Linked DNA regions of Macaca mulatta. The protein of the gene in region 2 purifies or fractionates together with the protein of the main gene of each other region. This does not show direct contact. Links are inferred from orthologs where the notes say so. Each region holds a gene or a part of one and is shown on either strand. Other genes may lie near its edges.

What was found.
Region 1: the proteins of ING3 (region 2) and EPC2 purify together in Homo sapiens (affinity purification with mass spectrometry; 3 studies listed by BioGRID and IntAct, with this or other methods). This does not show direct contact. The link is inferred for Macaca mulatta from reciprocal best matches to the Homo sapiens genes ING3 and EPC2.
Region 3: the proteins of ING3 (region 2) and MRGBP purify together in Homo sapiens (co-immunoprecipitation; 4 studies listed by BioGRID and IntAct, counting the BioPlex papers as one, with this or other methods). This does not show direct contact. The link is inferred for Macaca mulatta from reciprocal best matches to the Homo sapiens genes ING3 and MRGBP.
Region 4: the proteins of ING3 (region 2) and ACTL6A purify together in Homo sapiens (affinity purification with western blotting; 3 studies listed by BioGRID and IntAct, with this or other methods). This does not show direct contact. The link is inferred for Macaca mulatta from reciprocal best matches to the Homo sapiens genes ING3 and ACTL6A.

What each region holds. Positions count from the first base shown.
Region 1 is NC_133417.1:53,777,245-53,781,605, reverse strand, and holds part of EPC2 (enhancer of polycomb homolog 2), read right to left. Parts: intron 3,654-4,361; coding exon 3,517-3,653; intron 1,714-3,516; coding exon 1,554-1,713; intron 639-1,553; coding exon 305-638; intron 1-304. UniProt on the Homo sapiens protein: May play a role in transcription or DNA repair.
Region 2 is NC_133408.1:160,738,277-160,742,637, reverse strand, and holds part of ING3 (inhibitor of growth protein 3), read right to left. Parts: intron 3,136-4,361; coding exon 3,039-3,135; intron 1,256-3,038; coding exon 1,184-1,255; intron 1-1,183. UniProt on the Homo sapiens protein: Component of the NuA4 histone acetyltransferase (HAT) complex which is involved in transcriptional activation of select genes principally by acetylation of nucleosomal histones H4 and H2A.
Region 3 is NC_133415.1:115,606,398-115,611,467, forward strand, and holds the start of MRGBP (MRG/MORF4L-binding protein), read left to right. Parts: upstream 1-1,616; 5' UTR 1,617-1,688; coding exon 1,689-1,836; intron 1,837-2,280; coding exon 2,281-2,402; intron 2,403-4,749; coding exon 4,750-4,831; intron 4,832-5,070.
Region 4 is NC_133407.1:91,581,861-91,586,221, reverse strand, and holds part of ACTL6A (actin-like protein 6A), read right to left. Parts: intron 2,126-4,361; coding exon 2,025-2,125; intron 1,109-2,024; coding exon 1,011-1,108; intron 1-1,010.

The DNA.
Region 1 (4,361 bases), on a different chromosome or scaffold from region 2:
TGAAGCTTCTAACATAGACTGTGATGTGTTTAACAATTTGATGTCCTTTTCTTTCTTTTCCTTTCTCTCTCTCTACTACTACTCTCCCTTTCTCTAATAATCCTACTAGGTTGGCATTTAAGCATCCTACTAGGCACCTTAAACAAATAACTAAGTCACAGAATTTTATACAGATCTTCAGTATCTATTGAAAATCAAGTCTGTCAATAAACACCTATTGCTTGAGCAGTGTAAAAAAAAGTCTTTTTCTTCCCACAGGACAGCCAGCACAAAGGGTTCTCATCACTGAAACACACACACACACCTTGCTATGCTGCTGATGGCACTGCTGGGAGTAACCTTTGGCACTCTGTCCATACTGGCAGCAACTGTGGCAAGTTTTAAGGCTGTTGGCGATGGTGCTGAAGTCCGTGTATTGATATGCACATTGACTGGAGAAACAACACTGACATTATTGAGGTGCACTGCATTTGTCAGGCAGGAATTGTTCATGGGAAGTGTCTGAGGACTGCTTGTGCACAATGCTGGGATTAAGTGGTTTGTAGTGGTGTGGCCAACTGTCCTTACAAGTTGTACAGCTGAAATCCCTGGGCTAGATGATAAAGCCATATTGGTGGAGTATAATGTTTTAGAGGTTCCTGAAAAACAAAAAAGTCATTCAATTAGTATCATGAGACATCAATAAAACTATTTTTAGAAGTTTAATAAAAATAAATACAAATATTTGTATTTGAATTGAATGCCAAGTTAACTTTTCACACACCGATCTCTCCAAAGGGAGCTTCTGATCACTAAGTAGAATGTACTAATCTGCTACAACCCCCAAAACATCCTCTTTCTACTGGTCTACAAAAAAGAGCTTTGCGAAGTATCCTGCTGCCTATATCTGGCAACTGTGGAGTTAAGTATAACAGGACAGATGGAAATGACAGTTGGGTTTCCCTAAGAATGCACACATGCATGAATATTAGTAAAAATGGACAATCAGGCTCATGAGTATATATAAAAGCAACTGGAAAATCCTAGGGTCTGAGAGGTAGCTGAAGGATGATAGGAATAGCAAGTTTTTGCGGACTCAAGGTACTAAGAAGCAGACAGGGTTTCATGGCAATACTCTTTCTAAAGAGGCGGAGCCAGAGGAAGTATGCCTATGAGTGGTATGTAAGAGTGGGAGGGCAAACCTGATTTCCAGTTTATTACTGTCCTGGGTTATATTTCACCTTTTTATCAATGCATGGATGATTCAATGGGGATGGTTAGCTCAACAGATTTCCTAAGATGTGAGGCAACTAACAGTATGTGAATGAAACCAGGAAGGGTAGAGTGTTACACAGGTTATGTATTCAATGGATGAGGGAGAAAACAAGGAGTAGATTCTATGTGAATTCTAGAAACATCTAGCTATTTCTCCCTATCTTTCCAAAGAAATCCTAAAGAGTCCTGATTGACTTCTTATACACATTTTCTCCTTGGATAAAAAAACAAAAACCATACTCCCAATTACTGAGTTACAACTTCAAGAAAGTAGGTACCATGTGAAACCCCAGCTGTACCTGAAGGCTGGACAACACCGTTTATGTTGTTGTGGCCAGTGTTCTGTTCCTTGGCTACCTCACTGCGACTTGGAACAGGTGCACTGACCACTGCAGATGCAGCAAAGTGGGCGCTTGCTGAGTCAAGTGTTTTAGACATACAGTCAGAGGTGCTTGAGCCCTATAGAATGAACAAAGTTAAATTCTCTAATTTTTAGATGTAATTTTATGAACATATTAAGGGATGGGGCAAACCCAAGAGGCTGTTGCCTTTCTAACCTTGAACAATTATAAGTGTTTAGATTAAGAGATCTAGGATTCCATAGACGATTTTTGGTAAATGAAGCAGGGAAGTGAACAAAAACTGGGAATTTATTTCTGAGAAAGAACTAGAGATTAAATAACCCAAGGCTTTAATGTTCTATTAATTTTTCCAGTAAATATTAATGAATGCTTTTAAAAATGCTTGACAAACTAGATACTTGGATAAAATGAAATCAAAGATATAATTAATAGATATTTTTGTCACAACGTGAAAAGCTATCTTGGCCTAACCCTGAAACAGGCTGAAACTACTTTAGGCTGGTTAACCAAGAGACTGAGAAAAGTTTAAATAGCCATTCCTCCTTCATTCTGTATAAAACTGGTTACTAAATCCTACAGCCCTAGTCCTTGAGCAAGTCCCAGATACACCTGGATGTCACAGGAGTGTTGGGTTCCAAAGTCACTGAGATACTCATGTTACTGGAGTCAGGGTCTTTAAAGTCAGTGTACTGACCCTTTGAGAATGGGCTGAACCACAACGGGCAGATTCTAGCCTGCGAGCTCACAAAATATAACCAAGATTGAGTAAATCTCAGTTACTACTTTAGAAGTGGTTTTAGAATTATAGAGCAATAAAATTTAAGACCTAAAATGCAAGGTTTATGTTTTTCAGGTGGTTCAAATTTGAAATAAGATTTCTTAGTTTTGTTTTTAGTGGCTTAAAATAGAAATTTATCATCATATAGTTCTGTAGGCCAGAAGTCCACAATGAAGCTTATGGGGTTAAAATCAAGGTGTTGGCAAGGCTGGTTCCTTCTGGCAATTATGGTTTTATGAAGTATTTTTATTCTTATCTCTAGCATCTTTATTTAGTGGTGTCTACAAACAACTTCCCTTAGTGGCAATTTTCTTCTTCATTTTTAAAAACTTTTATTTATTTATTTATTTATTTTTTTGAGACACAGTCTGACTCCATCACCCAGGCTGGAGTGCAGTGGCGCGATTTAGCTCACTGAAACTTCCCCTTCAGAGTTCAAGTGATTCTCATGCTCCAGTCTCCCAAGTAGCTGGGCTTACAGGTATGTACCACCATGCCCAGTTAATTTTTGTATTTTTAGTAGAGACAGGGTTTTGCCATGTTGGCCAGGCTGATCTCGAACTTCCGACCTCAAGTGATCTGCCTGCCTCAGCTGCCCAAAGTGCTGGGATTACAGGCGTGAGCCACCGTGCCTGGCTGCAATTTTCTTCAACAGGAAAATGTGATTCACAATGGCAAGGCATTATGCTGTTAATATATTGCACAATTCAACTGAATTACTGCCCAGCTTATGAAGCACATCCACATGGCACTTAAACACATAGTTTAGGAAGTGGTTAGGAAAGTTATATCTTTCAAAAAAATCTTCTTTGGGGGAGTAGAGGTGGAGAATGATTCTTACAACTGCATATATAATTACTTCTATAAATTCTTAACAACCCTTCAAAAAATTTAAAATACCGTATCTGGCTCCAGAACTCTTCTCAAAGTATTAAGAGACTAGTTTATAAGCTAGTCACTTAAAATTACGTACATTAACTGAAAAGAAATTCAGGTTAGAGCCCCCAAATCAAGAGTGGCAAAACCAAGATTATCTTCTTGGTATCTGACTTGACTAAAATGGAATAAAACTACATACTGATGAAAGAAACAGACATAACTATGACAAAAAGAGCAGTTTACCTGTGCTTTTGGATGTGTCTGTTGCGAGGAATGCTGAGATTGCTGTTTCTGCTGAAGCTGGGCAAGTTGCTGCCTTTGCATCTGAACTAACTGCTGCTGATGTGTCTGAAACTGCTCTTCCGTGATACCCCCTGTTACTGGTAAACAACATGAATTTTGGAAATGAGTACGTTTTAAAAGATTTTTAATAACATAAGCAGAATATAAATTTACTCCACAATTAAGATGAAAGCAATAACAAACTACAATATGGATTATCAGAAAATAATCTAATGAAAATGAAATCTTTCATCAAGTATGCTTGTATCTGTGATCTCCATCACATGCTAAGAAAAGTGTCTAAATGTAGTTTTTGTTGAATAATATAGTTCTAACATGAATATTTTACCATTTATTCAGACTTAACATCTTTGAGACCACCCTTAATTCTCTACATTATGACGAGCAAGTAATGAGAAAAACTTTGATTTATTCATGTTAATAGTAATAAAATAATCACTAAGTTATAGCCTTAATAAGAAAGTAGGACCATCTGCAAGACTGTCAATGATTTTTACTGCTGGTTTCATATAATATTGAAGTGAAAATATTTTATTCTCTGATTACAAATCAAAGTAGAGAGCAACATTCATCTAACATAACCATAAACTATAATTTAAGACAACAGATTCAATGTCTGAAGTAAATCCATCTATAAAAATATGGGCTAGAAATCAGACAAGTATTCAGAAAACTGAAGATAATATGTATCCTCAGATGTAATAAATTCTATTGTGACCAACTATGTTAAAAGTGTGTTTCAAATGAAAACAAAATATTTTGTTGTTTTTAACAACAACAAAAAT
Region 2 (4,361 bases):
TATATCCAGCTATAATGTGAAACAGTATGATCTGGGTTCCTCATAAAATACAGAACATGATGCTTCCTCAGAAGCCAGGACAAGTAGAACTCTGTGTCACATGTTTATTAAGAGTAGACTTCTCCACCATTTAAAAAACTTCAGTAGCGAAGTACTAAAGATAACTCAAGATACACCATGGGCTCACATACAATGTGAGGGAAACTTTGTTTTCAAAACATCATCTACCACTTAGAATAGTGTTCAGTCAACTATCTTTTCCCACCAAATTGATGTGTCAAAAGAAGCACTGATACAGTCATTTTTTGACTGTATCAACTAGCCAGCAGTCATCTGACTAACAATTCATCCACTCACTGACTTACCAACCATTCAGACTTAATTATATGCCAAACATTAGGTTAAGCACTGGAGAAGCAAGGATAAAAAAGACAAAGGGCCTATTACAAAATAGTTTATTGTTTGGCTCAGTTGAATAAGGAGAATCAGGTATGTGTATGAAGGGAATATATGTTATTACAATATACGCTTAGCTCCCTAAGGAGAATCAGGTATGTGTATGAAGGGAATATATGTTATTAGAATATACGCTTAGCTCCCTAAGGAGAATCAGGTATGAGTATGAAGGGAATACATGTTATTAGAATATATGCTTAGCTCCCTAAGGAGAATCAGGTATGTGTATGAAGGGAATATATGTTATTAGAATATATGCTTAGCTCCCTAAGGAGAATTAGATATGTGTATGAAGGGAATATATGCTATTAGAATATATGCTTAGCTCCCTAAGGAGAATCAGGTATGAGTATGAAGGGAATACATATTATTAAAATATATGCTTAGCTCCCTAAGAAGAATCAGGTATGCGTATGAAGGGAATATATGTTATTAGAATATATGCTTAGCTCCCTAAGGAGAATCAGGTATGTATATGAAGGGAATATATGCTATTAGTACTATACATTCTCCCTCTACACATTTAAGAGAAAACAGAATACTCATTTCCGAATCACCTATGCTCTCCTCAAGGAAAAAGATAAGTCTGCCAGTACTTGCAATAAAAAAAAAAAAAGAAGGGATTTACTTCTCAATTGGTTGTATAGAGTTAAAAAAAGAGAACATACAGATGATATAATAAGGTTTTCATTGTTTTTAAAACTTAGCTGCACTACACCAAACTTACTTTCCACTGGAGTATGTGAATGAGCATGGTGATTGTTCACCGGCTGTGAAGGAGTGTCTAATTCCAAAGATCCTAAAAGAAGAGAGGCACAGAGATACACCACCATTAAATGTCACCGCAGAACTTCACATATCACTCAACTACAGGCAATGAGTTCCCTTACCCAGCAGAGGACTAGCAAGTTCTGATGCATATGCCTGTATTATTTTAGCCAGACATGTTAGAGGATCACCACTGTCCATCCCACACTGAGTATATCCTCTCTCTAAACAATAAGTTATCCCTTTCCCAATATTTACCTTAAGTACAATATGGCTCAAGGAATACTCGTGTCTAATTAGGGAATTCACCACAGTGGGTGGCATATAAATGAATGAATGGACATTGTAATCTCATTACTGGTAAGAGTCAATCTAGTTTTACTGACTTGAAGATGTTTTAATGGGAGATTCTAAAGTTCTATGTGATGGGGGACATTACTATATGAAAAAAATTATTTGATCATTAAAATGACATTATGGTAATAAAGACTTCCTAAAAGAAGTTAGGGATTTGTTTGCAAAAAGTGAGGAATAGAATTTGTAACACCAAGCTTTAAAACACCTCTAAATAAATTTTTCTGGGTTTATTTTTGATCCCTTGAGATGAAATTATGGCAGGGCACAGGGTGGAGCAGTTTTTATAACTTGATCCAATTTTGTTTCATATGTCTGTGTCCTTAGAGAGGATGCTTTAGTAACCTTCCTGCAGTACTGAATAGGCATGAATTATCATTACTCACAGCTATCATCAGCATTTTTTAAAAATCAAAGCAGCTACAGAATTTTTAATTTTGTCTCAAAATACTTATTATCTTTATATAGGGTTCCTCCAGAAGAAAAGTATCACAAATAAATAGATGATTATCTAAAGTGATGCATCTACTTTTGAACACAAAAATGCAACTATAGACACCAAGACAGATCTGTGATTGGCTTCCCTAGCTGACTTCTAGTGACTATATAGAGAGATACATAGATTGGCACTGTAAAGAAACCTTTCATCTGTGTGTAGAAACAGGTATATATTCTTGCTGTTGAAATGCATCAAGAAAAAATATGTTTGAAAGTTTTAATTAAATTCTAGTAGAAATTAGCCATAATACTAACTTGGTTCAATTAACATCCAGTGAGTGCCTACTCTATACCAAGTACCACACTAACTGCTTTTATGTATATTACCTATTTAGGTTGGAGGAAATGCTAAATTAGTCAAGGAAACAGTGCTCACGCTTCCATTTTTGGGAAGACACACCAAAGAAGTGACAGGGGTAAGTTATAGCAGGAGATCAAATAGAGCCTTGCAAAGAAATATTAAAATGGTTTCTTGCTGATAAGGGAAAGAGGGAAACACTTCTTTAAGAAAAAGAGGTAGTGTTATGAAACCAATGGAATCTTTTTCAGTATATGCAGTTAAGGAAAAGCCATAAAACAATTCTTAAGAAACTAACAACCTTCCTCAAAGCTTAAGTGTATAAAGAGGCAGAGTAAAGTCAACATACTTAATGCAAGATGGTTAATTTGTGTCCCGATGGTTACGTTTCTTTAAATTTGTTCTTACCACTCAACTTACTAATATATGTGAATATAAAATTATTTAATATGTTATTTCATAAAGAGTGAGTGGATGATATCCTATATTATCTCTCTCAGTATCCATGACCCAAACATTTCCAACTGCTAGGGTCCAAGCTATCTGACCTGGATGCCACCATCCACTGAAGGGCAGGTTTCAAAAGCCTCTGTGAGACAAGGTCTTCTCAGTGATTTGCACATGTACTGTCCAATATTGATGGAAAACTGTAAATTTTACTTACGCCTCTCTAATATTTCTGTAATTCCAGCATTATCAGCTTCCAGCTCCATTTTAAACTTAGCCAGTTCCTGATCCAGCTTTCTCAAGTGTCGATCTACCTGTTTCAAAGAAGATCAAAGATAACCACCAAAATTTGGGACACTGTTAAAGTGTCAGTTTAATGAGGAAACCTAAATCTTTGTTTCTTTTAGTCAATCTGCTTAGTATCCTTGAGCAAGTCAATTAACCTATGCCTCAGAGGTTTTTAATCTATAAAATGAGGGTGCTAGGCTAAATAATCTCCGAAGTCTCCTTTAATAAATTTTAAGTTCTAAGACCCAGACTCTCAACTTGTTAGGAAATGTTCTATACTCCATTTTCAGAAGTAAGGACGTGAAAATTAAAGCAAAACTGATTAGGGATTAGAGAATGGGAGGAGGGGATGGTGGAGGCTGGTCACTTTTCATAATACGCCCTGTGATTACTTAGAGCCTAATCTCCTCCTACTTATAAGGCCATCATCCACACTGTCACTGTCACACGATAAAAGCTATTATTTAGAATGATGAAAGATCCTCAGTCTACAAAGAAGTTCCTATATTCTATACATTTATTTCTCTAAGGCATGAGAGTGAATCATAATGCTTGTAAACACTTATGTGAAGAGGTGAAACAAAAGGGGTTGTTAGTCAGAAAACTCCATTCCTCAAAGGGCCTGGTTAAAATTATTTTATTTAAAATACAATTTCCCTAGTTAATGTGGCAAAATTTTATTTTGTCACTGAGAGATCTTTTGACTAGCTTCAGAAAATTGTATGACGCCTCAAGCTAACAAAAAAGTCTTAATGTATTTTTTAAGCTTAATATTAAAGTTTTTAATACTTTTTCAAACTACTTTGAAGTGAAACAAAAAAACACACAAATTCTTTGAAAAATATTCATGTCACATTATTGACAACATCCTTTTCCAAGTCTAGTTTCCCATTGGATTACTGCTAGAATTAGAAATAACTTTCTTACAGATATCAAAATGTGCTATGATACTGCATCAGGGCAACATTGTAAGTAAGGTTTAGAATTAAACCATGTATAACTAACATGAGGAAGAAGGAGAGAAAGGTAGCAAAACACAATGTGCATGGGTTAGATGCCTACGAAGAGCAGGTAATGTGCTTGGCGCATCAGATGACCTATCTTTTCTAACCCTCAAGCTGATCTTTTGAGGTTATTACTGTCTCTACTTTATAGGTGAAGAAATTAAGGCTCAGAGGGGTTACTTAAGTAATATGGCCAAAGTCATACAGCTAATGCATTACAGAAACCAAATTTAACTTTATTTGTAATG
Region 3 (5,070 bases), on a different chromosome or scaffold from region 2:
TAATTCCAGAGCATTTCACCTCCTTAAAAAGAAGCTGGGCCGTAGCCCGGCGCGGTGGCTCAAGCCTGTAATCCCAGCACTTTGGGAGGCCGAGGAGGGGGGGAATCACCTGAGGTCAAGAGTTCGAGACCAGCCTGGCCAACATGGTGAAACCGCATCTCTACTAAAAATACAAAAATTAGCCGGCCGTAGTGAGGGCCTGTGGTCCCAGCTTCTCGGGAGTCTGTCGGGAGAATTGCTTGAACCCGAGAGGCAGAGGTTGCAGTGAGCCAAGATCGCGCCATTGCACCCCAGCCTGGGCAACAGAGCGAGACTCTGCCTCAGAAACAAAAAAGAAGCCGATCCCCATCCGCAGTGACTCGCGTTTCCCTCCCCCTCCCCCGTCCCCGGCAACTGTGCGTCTACTTTCTATTTCTATGGAGTTGCCAGTTCTGGCTCTTCCTGTGAATGGATTCCCATGCTGCGTATTTTGGTGTCTGAATTCTCTGACTTTCGTCTCAGCCCGCACCCACGCTGCCGCAGTCCGCGCTCGCGGCTTTTAGGCTGAACGCGGCTGCGCCGTGCGGGTGCCCGCGCTCCGTGCGCCCCTAGCCGGTTCAGCCCCGGTTGGGGGCGGCGCTAGCCTTGCGGCTGCGGATCCCAGCCTGAACCTGTGTCTTGTTCCACCGTTGCGGGCGCCCGCCACGGAGCTGCTGCCTCCTAGGGAGACGGTTCCATCGTTGAAGGAACGGCCGTTCTGTCTTTCGCAGCAGCGACTCCATCTGGCCCCACAGCACGACCGCACGAGGGTCCCGAGTCCGGATCCTCGCAGTACTCGCCACCCCGGCCGCGTAGTTGCGGCGGTCTCGGCGGGGAAGGGGGTCCCCACGCGGGCTGGTTCGCGTTTCGCGTGACCGATGGTGTTCATTGGCCATCTATACATCTTTTTTTTTCTTTTTCCCGAGTCGGAGTTTCTCTCTTGTTGCCCAAGCTGGATTGCAATGGCGCGATCTCCGCTCACTGCAACCTCCGCCTCTCGGGTTCAAGCGATTCTCCTGCCTCAGCCTCTCGAAGTAACGGGGATTACAGGCGCCCGCCACCACGGCCGGCTAATTTTTTTGTATTTTTAGTAGAGACGGGATTATGCCATGTTGGCCAGGCTGGTCTCGAATTCCTGACCTCAGATGATCCTCCCGCCTCGGCCTCCCAAAGTGCTGGGATTACAGGCGTGAGCCACCGCGCCCGGCCCATCTGTACATCTTCTTTGGAAAAATGTGTATCCAAATCCTTTGCCGTTTTATAGTTAGACTGTCTTTTTATTATAGAGTTATATTTATACCTTCTGCAAGGAAGTTCCTTATCAGATACAGGATTTGCAAATACTTTCTCCCAATCTGTGGGTCGTCTTTTCACTTTGCTGATGGTTTTCTTTGAAGCAAAAAAGTTTTCTGTTGTTGTTTGGGTGAAGTGTTAGAACACTTACTGTGCTTTAAAGAGGAACACGTTTTAAGCACCCCCGCACGGGGCGGAGCAGGGCGGAGTCCCCGGCGGGAAGGAACCCGAGGCCTCGGCTGCGCCTGCGCCGACGCCGGCGCGTGAGCCCGAGCTCGTGCCTGGCGGAGCGCGCGCCCGCCCCCGAGTGCGCCTGCGCGGAGCTCGTGGCCGCGCCTGCTCCCGCCGGGGGCTCCTTGCTCGGCCGGGCCGCGGCCATGGGAGAGGCCGAGGTGGGCGGCGGGGGCGCCGCAGGCGACAAGGGCCCAGGGGAGGCGGCCACCAGCCCGGCGGAGGAGACAGTGGTGTGGAGCCCCGAGGTGGAGGTGTGCCTCTTCCACGCCATGCTGGGCCACAAGCCCGTCGGTGAGCGCCCAGGCCGCGGACGCGCGTGGGGGCGGGGCGGGCAACCGGCGGGGCGGGGCGGGGCCTGCGCTCGCGACACCCGCGCCCCCACGCGCCCCGCCGAGCCCGGGCCGTGACACCCCCGCCACACCCGTCCCGGGACCCCCGCCCCCTCCCACGCGCCCTTCGGACCCCGCCCCGGACCCCGCCCCCGGCCCCTACCCCCGTGACACCGCGAGGCCCCAGCCCGCAGCGCCCCACCCCCACCTCTGCCCCGGGACGCCCCACCCCCTCCCACACACACCACCCAGCCCTGCCCCCCGACAGCCCCTCCGCACCCTGGCCCACCCCATCCCACCGCGGCCACCCTTGCCCCTCCAGTCCCCAGGGCACCCTGTCCCCTCCATCCCCTTTCTCCTTCTCCTCCCCTCTGACCGGTTGTCCCGCCGCCCCTCCTCCCCCCAGGTGTGAACCGACACTTCCACATGATTTGTATCCGGGACAAGTTCAGCCAGAACATCGGGCGGCAGGTCCCATCCAAGGTCATCTGGGACCACCTGAGCACCATGTACGACATGCAGGCACTGGTGAGCCCAACCACCCTCCCTGTGCTGCCCGATGGGGGCACGAACCCACACACCGCTGAGGGTCAGCCTGAGCTGGGCAGAGCAGAGGCCCCTCCATGCCTGCTGGGGTCTGCTGGGCAGAGCCCCCTGCAGTGAGACCCATCCTTAAGGAGGGCATCCCAGGGCTCCAGAGCCTGTCATGGAAAGCACAAACACAATGCTAGCAGCTGGCCAGCTTTTCAGGGGGCCTGCTTTAGACTGGGTGCTGGGCCAGAGCCTCCAGCTGAGACCCTGGGGAGGGAGGGAAGGATGCAGAGTCCCCAGGCCCTTAGGCCCTTGTCAGCCTCCCGGGATGCCCCAGAAGTGCTTTAGGCAGAGGGTGACCCTATCTGAGTCACACCAAGGTGAATTTGGTGGCTTCTGTGGGAGTCAGGCAAATAGAGTCCCAGTCCTCACAGAGCTTGGAGCTGGCAGTGTGTGACGGGCGAGCGCGTTAGCTAGGTAAGCAGGCTGGCCACAAGAGACAGGTGGGTGTTGCAGGCTCTGTGGCAGCAGGAGGTGGTGGGTCCAGGAGTTGAAAGAAGGTGGTGTGCTTGGAGAATGGGGTGGGGGTCAGGGGTCAGGTGACCAGGAGGAGTGGGGACCTGTGCTGGTGGAAGGAGAGTCTGTGCCAGCCACGCTGGACTCAGGGCCACACCAGCCCTTCCAGGAAGACATAGGGGCACCACTGAGGCAAGGAATGCTTGCCGTTGACATTGGTGGAGTGATGTGGGTCTCCTTGTCATAGCTGTAGAAAGGGGACAGAGATGCCAGCCGTGCAGGGGCCTGGCTGTCTGAGGAGAGGAAGGATGCTCAGCCCTAGAAATGCCCTGGAAGCTTAAGCCCCTGTTGCTGCCGCCTCGTGTGTTGAGGACGTTCTGAGCCAGTGCGGCATTTGCACTGGGTGACCAGTACCTAGTGGCCCAGACACAGCTGGCTACTAAGCTCACAAGGTCCTCCCTGGACCCGCTCCTCCCTAGAGCGTATCCATCAGCCATTGAACTCTGGTCACCACCCCTCAGGGTCAGAGGCCCCCTGTCACCAAACTCCCAGCAGCTTCTTGGTTGTGGGAGAGGGCGCTAGGTCCCCAGACACCTCCCACACCGGGATTTGGAGAGATCGGTGTAAATCTATGCCTGTCTCTGGGGAAGACAAACAGCTCCAAGGCCCATAATGTCCCCTGGGGCATGGGTGCTGGCTCAGATGAGCACAGCAGCCCACATGACACTCAGGAAGCCATGTGGGACCGCCAGGCCTTTCAGCCCTAGGACTGTGGCCCTGTTCCTTATTCCTGCAGTGGCCTATGACATCAGTAAGGACTGGGCAAGACCACAGGCTGGCACTTTCTCTGGACCATGACACTTCTGTGTGACTGAGATCTGAGTCTTTCAGACCTTATGAAATACAGAGCCCCTGGAGTACCCCCGAGAGGCTGACCAGCTGGCCCAGGAGATTTTGAGGAGCACAAATGTGGCCTGACTGCCTGTTCCATACAGCACCCAAACTGCCGAGTAGAAGCCCCTGTCTCCTGAATCGCCTCCCAGTCCAGGGCCCTTCCCGCCAGCTCCACTTTTCCCTGGCTCCCGGTCTCTCCCTCTGGTCTGTGTGACCTCAGGAGGGCAGTGCCTGGCAAGCACTCGGGTGGCCCTGCTCCATCTGCTCTTCTTCCTTGCCTGGTTCTGTGCCTGTGGCGCTCCCAACTGACACCCTCAGTGTCCATGGGTTCCTGCCATGTGGATGAGAACTCGAGGTGCCTGCGGCCTTTCCCCAGGGCTGTCACCGTGCCCTCTGCACACCGCCTTAGGGAACGCAGTCTCTTGGTGAGACCATAGGTCGTGGTGGGCAGGCAGGACCCACAGGTGTGCAGTCTCTTGGTGAGACCGTAGGTCGTGGTGGGCAGGCAGGACCCACAGGTGTGCAGTCTCTTGGTGAGACCGTAGGTCGTGGTGGGCAGGCAGGACCCACAGGTGTGCAGTCTCTTGGTGAGACCGTAGGCCGTGGTGGGCAGGCAGGGCCCACAGGTGTATGTCACCAGGGCTACCCGGTCCTCAGGGCCCACCTTAGTGATGCCGGCCCCGGTGGGTCTTCCTGACCCCTGCACGTGCCTCCACTGGTTCTGCCCTCCCTGGGTCTGTCTGAAAAGCCCAGCTGTAGCAGGCACTGTTCACAAAAAGAAGAAATGCCCTTTGCCCATGCCCCGCCCACCGCAGCCTCCAACACAGTGACGTGTGCTCGCTGGCTGCTCGCCAAGTGGCTCTTACATGGCTGTAGTGGCTTCTTGAAACCGCATCTTCACCCTTGTTTCTTAAAACTCTCTATTTGACATCAGCATGAGTCTGAGATTCTTCCATTCCCGAATCCAGAGAGGAACTTCGTCCTTCCAGAAGAGATCATTCAGGAGGTCCGAGAAGGTGAGACTCGGGAGAGGTTGGGCTTGGGAATCAGAAAAGGCCAGACCCTGGCCAAGGGCGGGGAGGTGAGCGTGAGGACCCCGGGCCTCCAGGGAGGTGTGAGGGTCCAGCGCAGACCCCGCCCCACCTGTGCTTGGGTGGTCTTGGAACCTCCGGGATTGGAGAGGACTTTGTTTGAGAGCAGTGGCTGGACGGAAGCTGAGGCCCGTGTGGGCAGCAAGCGTCGGAGCAGTCCCTGG
Region 4 (4,361 bases), on a different chromosome or scaffold from region 2:
TTCCTTTAACACAGTAGACACACAATGGTGCACCAAAACTGCCTTTTCCCTGAAGGTTATCCTGTTTAGTGAAGTAGATGATCAATAAAGCTGTAAAAAGAAAAGCTCACGATGTCCCAGGGAAGGTGGTGGTGTAAAAGAGAAGCCTATTCCTGGGATATCCAATTGTTAATTATGGGGAAGGGAATATGGGCAAGAGTAGGAGCATGTGGGAAGACCAGGAGGCAAGAGAACACAGCGAGGTCAGAGAACTGCAAGCACCTCAGTACGGTCTGAAAGTAAAAGGAAGAAATGTAGAAGATGATTCTAGCTTAAAGCAGACTAGCACTTTAGAAAGATTATTAGAGGCTGGGCATGGTGGCTCATGCCTGTAATCTCAGCACTTTGGGAGACCGAGGCAAGCAGATCGCTTGAGTCCAGGAGTTAGAGAGCAGCCTGGGCAACATGGTGAAACTCCATCTCTACCAAATAAATAAATAAATAAAAATAGAAAGATTATTAGATCAACAGTGTAAAGAATGGGCAGACAAGAGGATGTGCTTCAGTAATCCTGGAAATAGCTTCCACCTAATGCTGTGGCAGTGGGAAAGAGAGAAACAAATAGCAGGAAAGAATAGGTGGGACTTGATGACTGACTAAATTTGAAGGGGAATGAATTTACAGCCAATTTCCAGTTTTCTGTGATATTGGAAGGGAGGGAGAAAATGGCAATCTTTCATTTCGTCTAAGCCAACTGGTTAAAATATTGCCTTCTATCCACATGCACCTTCCTAAAAACAAAAACGTCTTAACACTCAGAATTTGAGTGTTACTTTATTTCCCTCATACTTTCTAGTGTATCATCAGTTCTAATGAGAAACACCAAAAGATGAATAGCTAAAAAGCAAGAGAAAAGAGAAAAAAACAACTTCTGAACAAGCAATAATTGGCTTATGTCTTCTGCCAGAGTTATCACATTCAGTAGTATGGTATACACTTCAAGAGGAAAGGTATTACTCTTTCAAGGATACGCCGTCAAAACTGCAGTTTTGCAAAGGAAGAATGCAGGGATGTTGTAGTGTTCAAACATTAACTCTGTCAGTTTCTCTCTCTTTGCTCTAGTATTCCACTTGAGAAGAGGGGAAAAAGAAATGCAAGTTATTAAGAATTAAAAAGTTGATTTATCTCCAGATAAAATCTAGCACTATATTAACAAAGAAATAAAACAATAAGAACAGCAAAAAATACCATGGGAAATAATCTTTCATAATAATATCTCACAAAAATAAAAACAAAACCTCTATATTTCTTTAGATGTAGATTAAATTTAACAAATCAATCAGATAAGAATTAAAATTCTTTAATAATAAAATTGCTTCTATAAATTCTAGAAATTAGAGACTTTTCCACATATGAGGAAATCAGTATTCTTATAAACATATTATTAAATCTAAAGAGTAAATATGGTCAATCCAAATCCTAAGTATGAATTTTAGACCACCAAATTCTCCCACTTATAGATGGTATTCATAAAAGAAACTATAAGTTAGCAACAATAAGATACTGATAATTTATGACCATTATGCTTGCTTTCTGGGTCGTTTCTGTCTATGTACCAAATGTATTTCACAAGAGACTTTGGTCCAGAAATTTCCAGCCCTTGTTCAACATCTCAATTCTCTCTTGGAAACTTGAATAAAGTAGATATACGCTGCCCTTGGGGCACAAGAAATGATTCGTAATTCAAAATGGGAAGCAGTCCTAGGAAATAAAATGTTAAATCCCTAGAAATACATAAATAACCACAAGAATTCATTAGTGTGTTTTGTTGTTCTCTGCATATTTTATCAGAATAGTAAAATGAAAGTTACAATAGTATTAAAAAATTAATCTTTTTCCCTAATTTTCAAATTCAAAATATGAATTTCTGAATTTCTATGCCTCTTTATAGAAAAATATTCATCAAATGAGTAGAAAACTAAAGGAAAAAAGAAAAAAAAAAAAAAACAACTACAGAAACATGAAAAAGAAAATCTTTATCTCACCGGTGCCTCTGACATGAGAACAGGATGGAGGCTGGCTTCTGATTTGACATGCATTTTGTAGGTATGATCCAAAATAGCCTGGAAACTATCCCAGTCTTCAACTAGAATATAAGATTAGTAACTTGGAAACAATGCATAGTTGAAGATGAATACAACATATTTTGAGAAATTGTTTCTGTGACTTAACAATTAATACCGTATTATACAGAACCTACTGATTTTACAGATCAACTTCATACCACAGTACTTTATATAAAGATTACCTTTGTCTTCTAGATATATAGAACTTCTTTTTGGTCCCTCCAGCCCCCAGACCTATCCCAAATGTAATTAATCTAACAGACCTAAAATACCAAGTAAATGTTATTCAATTCAATAAATACTTATTAGAGGCCCAGAATGTGATCAGAATAACAGGAAGTACAGAAGAATTATATGGCCTTCTAAATGATACTACTGCTGGGTTTAAAAAAAAAAAAACAACAAAGATTTGTATGGTCTAGACCCAACACTCAAAAAAGCTTACAATCTATTTGGAAAAAGACTAAAAGACATGTTAAAAATTCAAAGAAGAACATCTGTCTTCAATTTGGCTTCCACCTAAACATTCCATTAAAACTACTGACATAAGTCATTAATGACCTTCTTTTTTTTGAGATGGAGTCTCACTCTCTCGCCCAGACTGGAGTACAATGGCGCAATCTCGGTTCACTGCAACCTCTGCTTTCTGGGGTCAAGCAATTCTCCTGTCTCAGGCTCCCAAGTAGCTGGGATTACAGGTGCCCGCCACCATGCCCAACTAATTTTTGCATTTTTAGTAGAGACAGGGTTTCACCATGTTGACTAGGCTGGTCTCTATCTCCTGACCTCAGGTGATCTACCCACCTCGGCCTCCAAAGTGCTGGGATTACAGGTGTGAGCCACCGCCCCCAGTCGCGAATGACCTTCTACTAGGCAAATTCATGGACACTTAACATTTTTAATCTCATCTGACTTCTCTAAATTATAACAGTATTGCCTTCACAAGAGTTTACAAACTTTTCTACTGCAGCCCAAAGAAAAAATGTCATTAATTATATATTTCCACAGGCCCACCTGGATTTTTTTAACTTCTTTCTTAGTGTAAAGCTTTCAATGTCACAGCGGAAAACACTGAGAATAAATGGAATTTTATGCTTCCAGAAACTTTTTCTTTTCTTATTCTTCCCCTGAATTTTTTCCTACATCCCTAATTGTTCCCTTTCATTCTCCTTTAAGGGTACCTTTTATTCTCTATTGGTTAAAATATACAAGTTTTTTGCTAAGAACTCCATCTTCAATCCTCTTCCCATATTCCAAATTTTTTCAGAGTAATAAAAAGCAATTCCATGTCTTAAAATCTTTCTTATAATCTTTTATTCCCCTGTTTACAGAATTGTCACCTGGATGTTCTAAGCACTTTTAACTTAGTGAACCCATTTACTTACTATACATGAAAGAGTTAACACTGCAAGCCTGAGAAAGGCCTGCTTGTAAAGCTCACTCTTAGCTGGTGTCTGGAAACACGATTGGCAAACAGTTCCCTATGTTCATATAAAACTTGTCCCTAAATGGTAAGAGTAGCTCGCTATACCTACACTGTTTGTACAATGTGGTTGGTTCTGAACACTTGCTTTCCTTCTGATAATCTAAAATTTTGTTACATGCCAGGTACATGGTACCTACATAACCAGCCCTCTGTAAAATCCTTGGGTACTGAGTTTCAGAGTTCTCCTGGAAGATAACACAGGTTGTAACTTGTTGATGGAGGGATTAAGCACATCCTGTGTGACTCCACTGTGAGAAAACTCTCCGAAGCTTGCATCTGGACTTCATCATCCCCTGTCCCTTTTCCCTTTGTCGATTTTGTTTTGAATCCGAATCTTCAGTACAATAAATCTTAGCTGTGAATACAACCATATGCTGAGTCCTGTGAGGGAGTCTTGCTGGTGAGTAACTGAACCTGAGAGTGATTTGGAGTATCCCTGATAACCTCGCTTTTTTCTTTTTCTTTCTTTTTTTTGAGACAGAATTTCGGTCTGTCACCCAGGTTGAAGTGCAGTCATGGGATCTCAGTTGCAACCTCTGCATCCTGGGTTCAAGTGATTCTCATGCCTTAGCCTCCTGAGTAGCTGGGATTACAGGTGGTATGTATCGCCACACCTGGCAAATTTTTGTATTTTTAGTAGAGATGGGGTTTCACCATGTTGCCCAGGCTGGTCTCGAACTCCTAGACTCAAGCAATCCACCCGCAGTCTCAGCCTCCCAAAGTGCTGGGATTATACAGACGCAAGCCACCGCGCATGGCCAACCATGCCT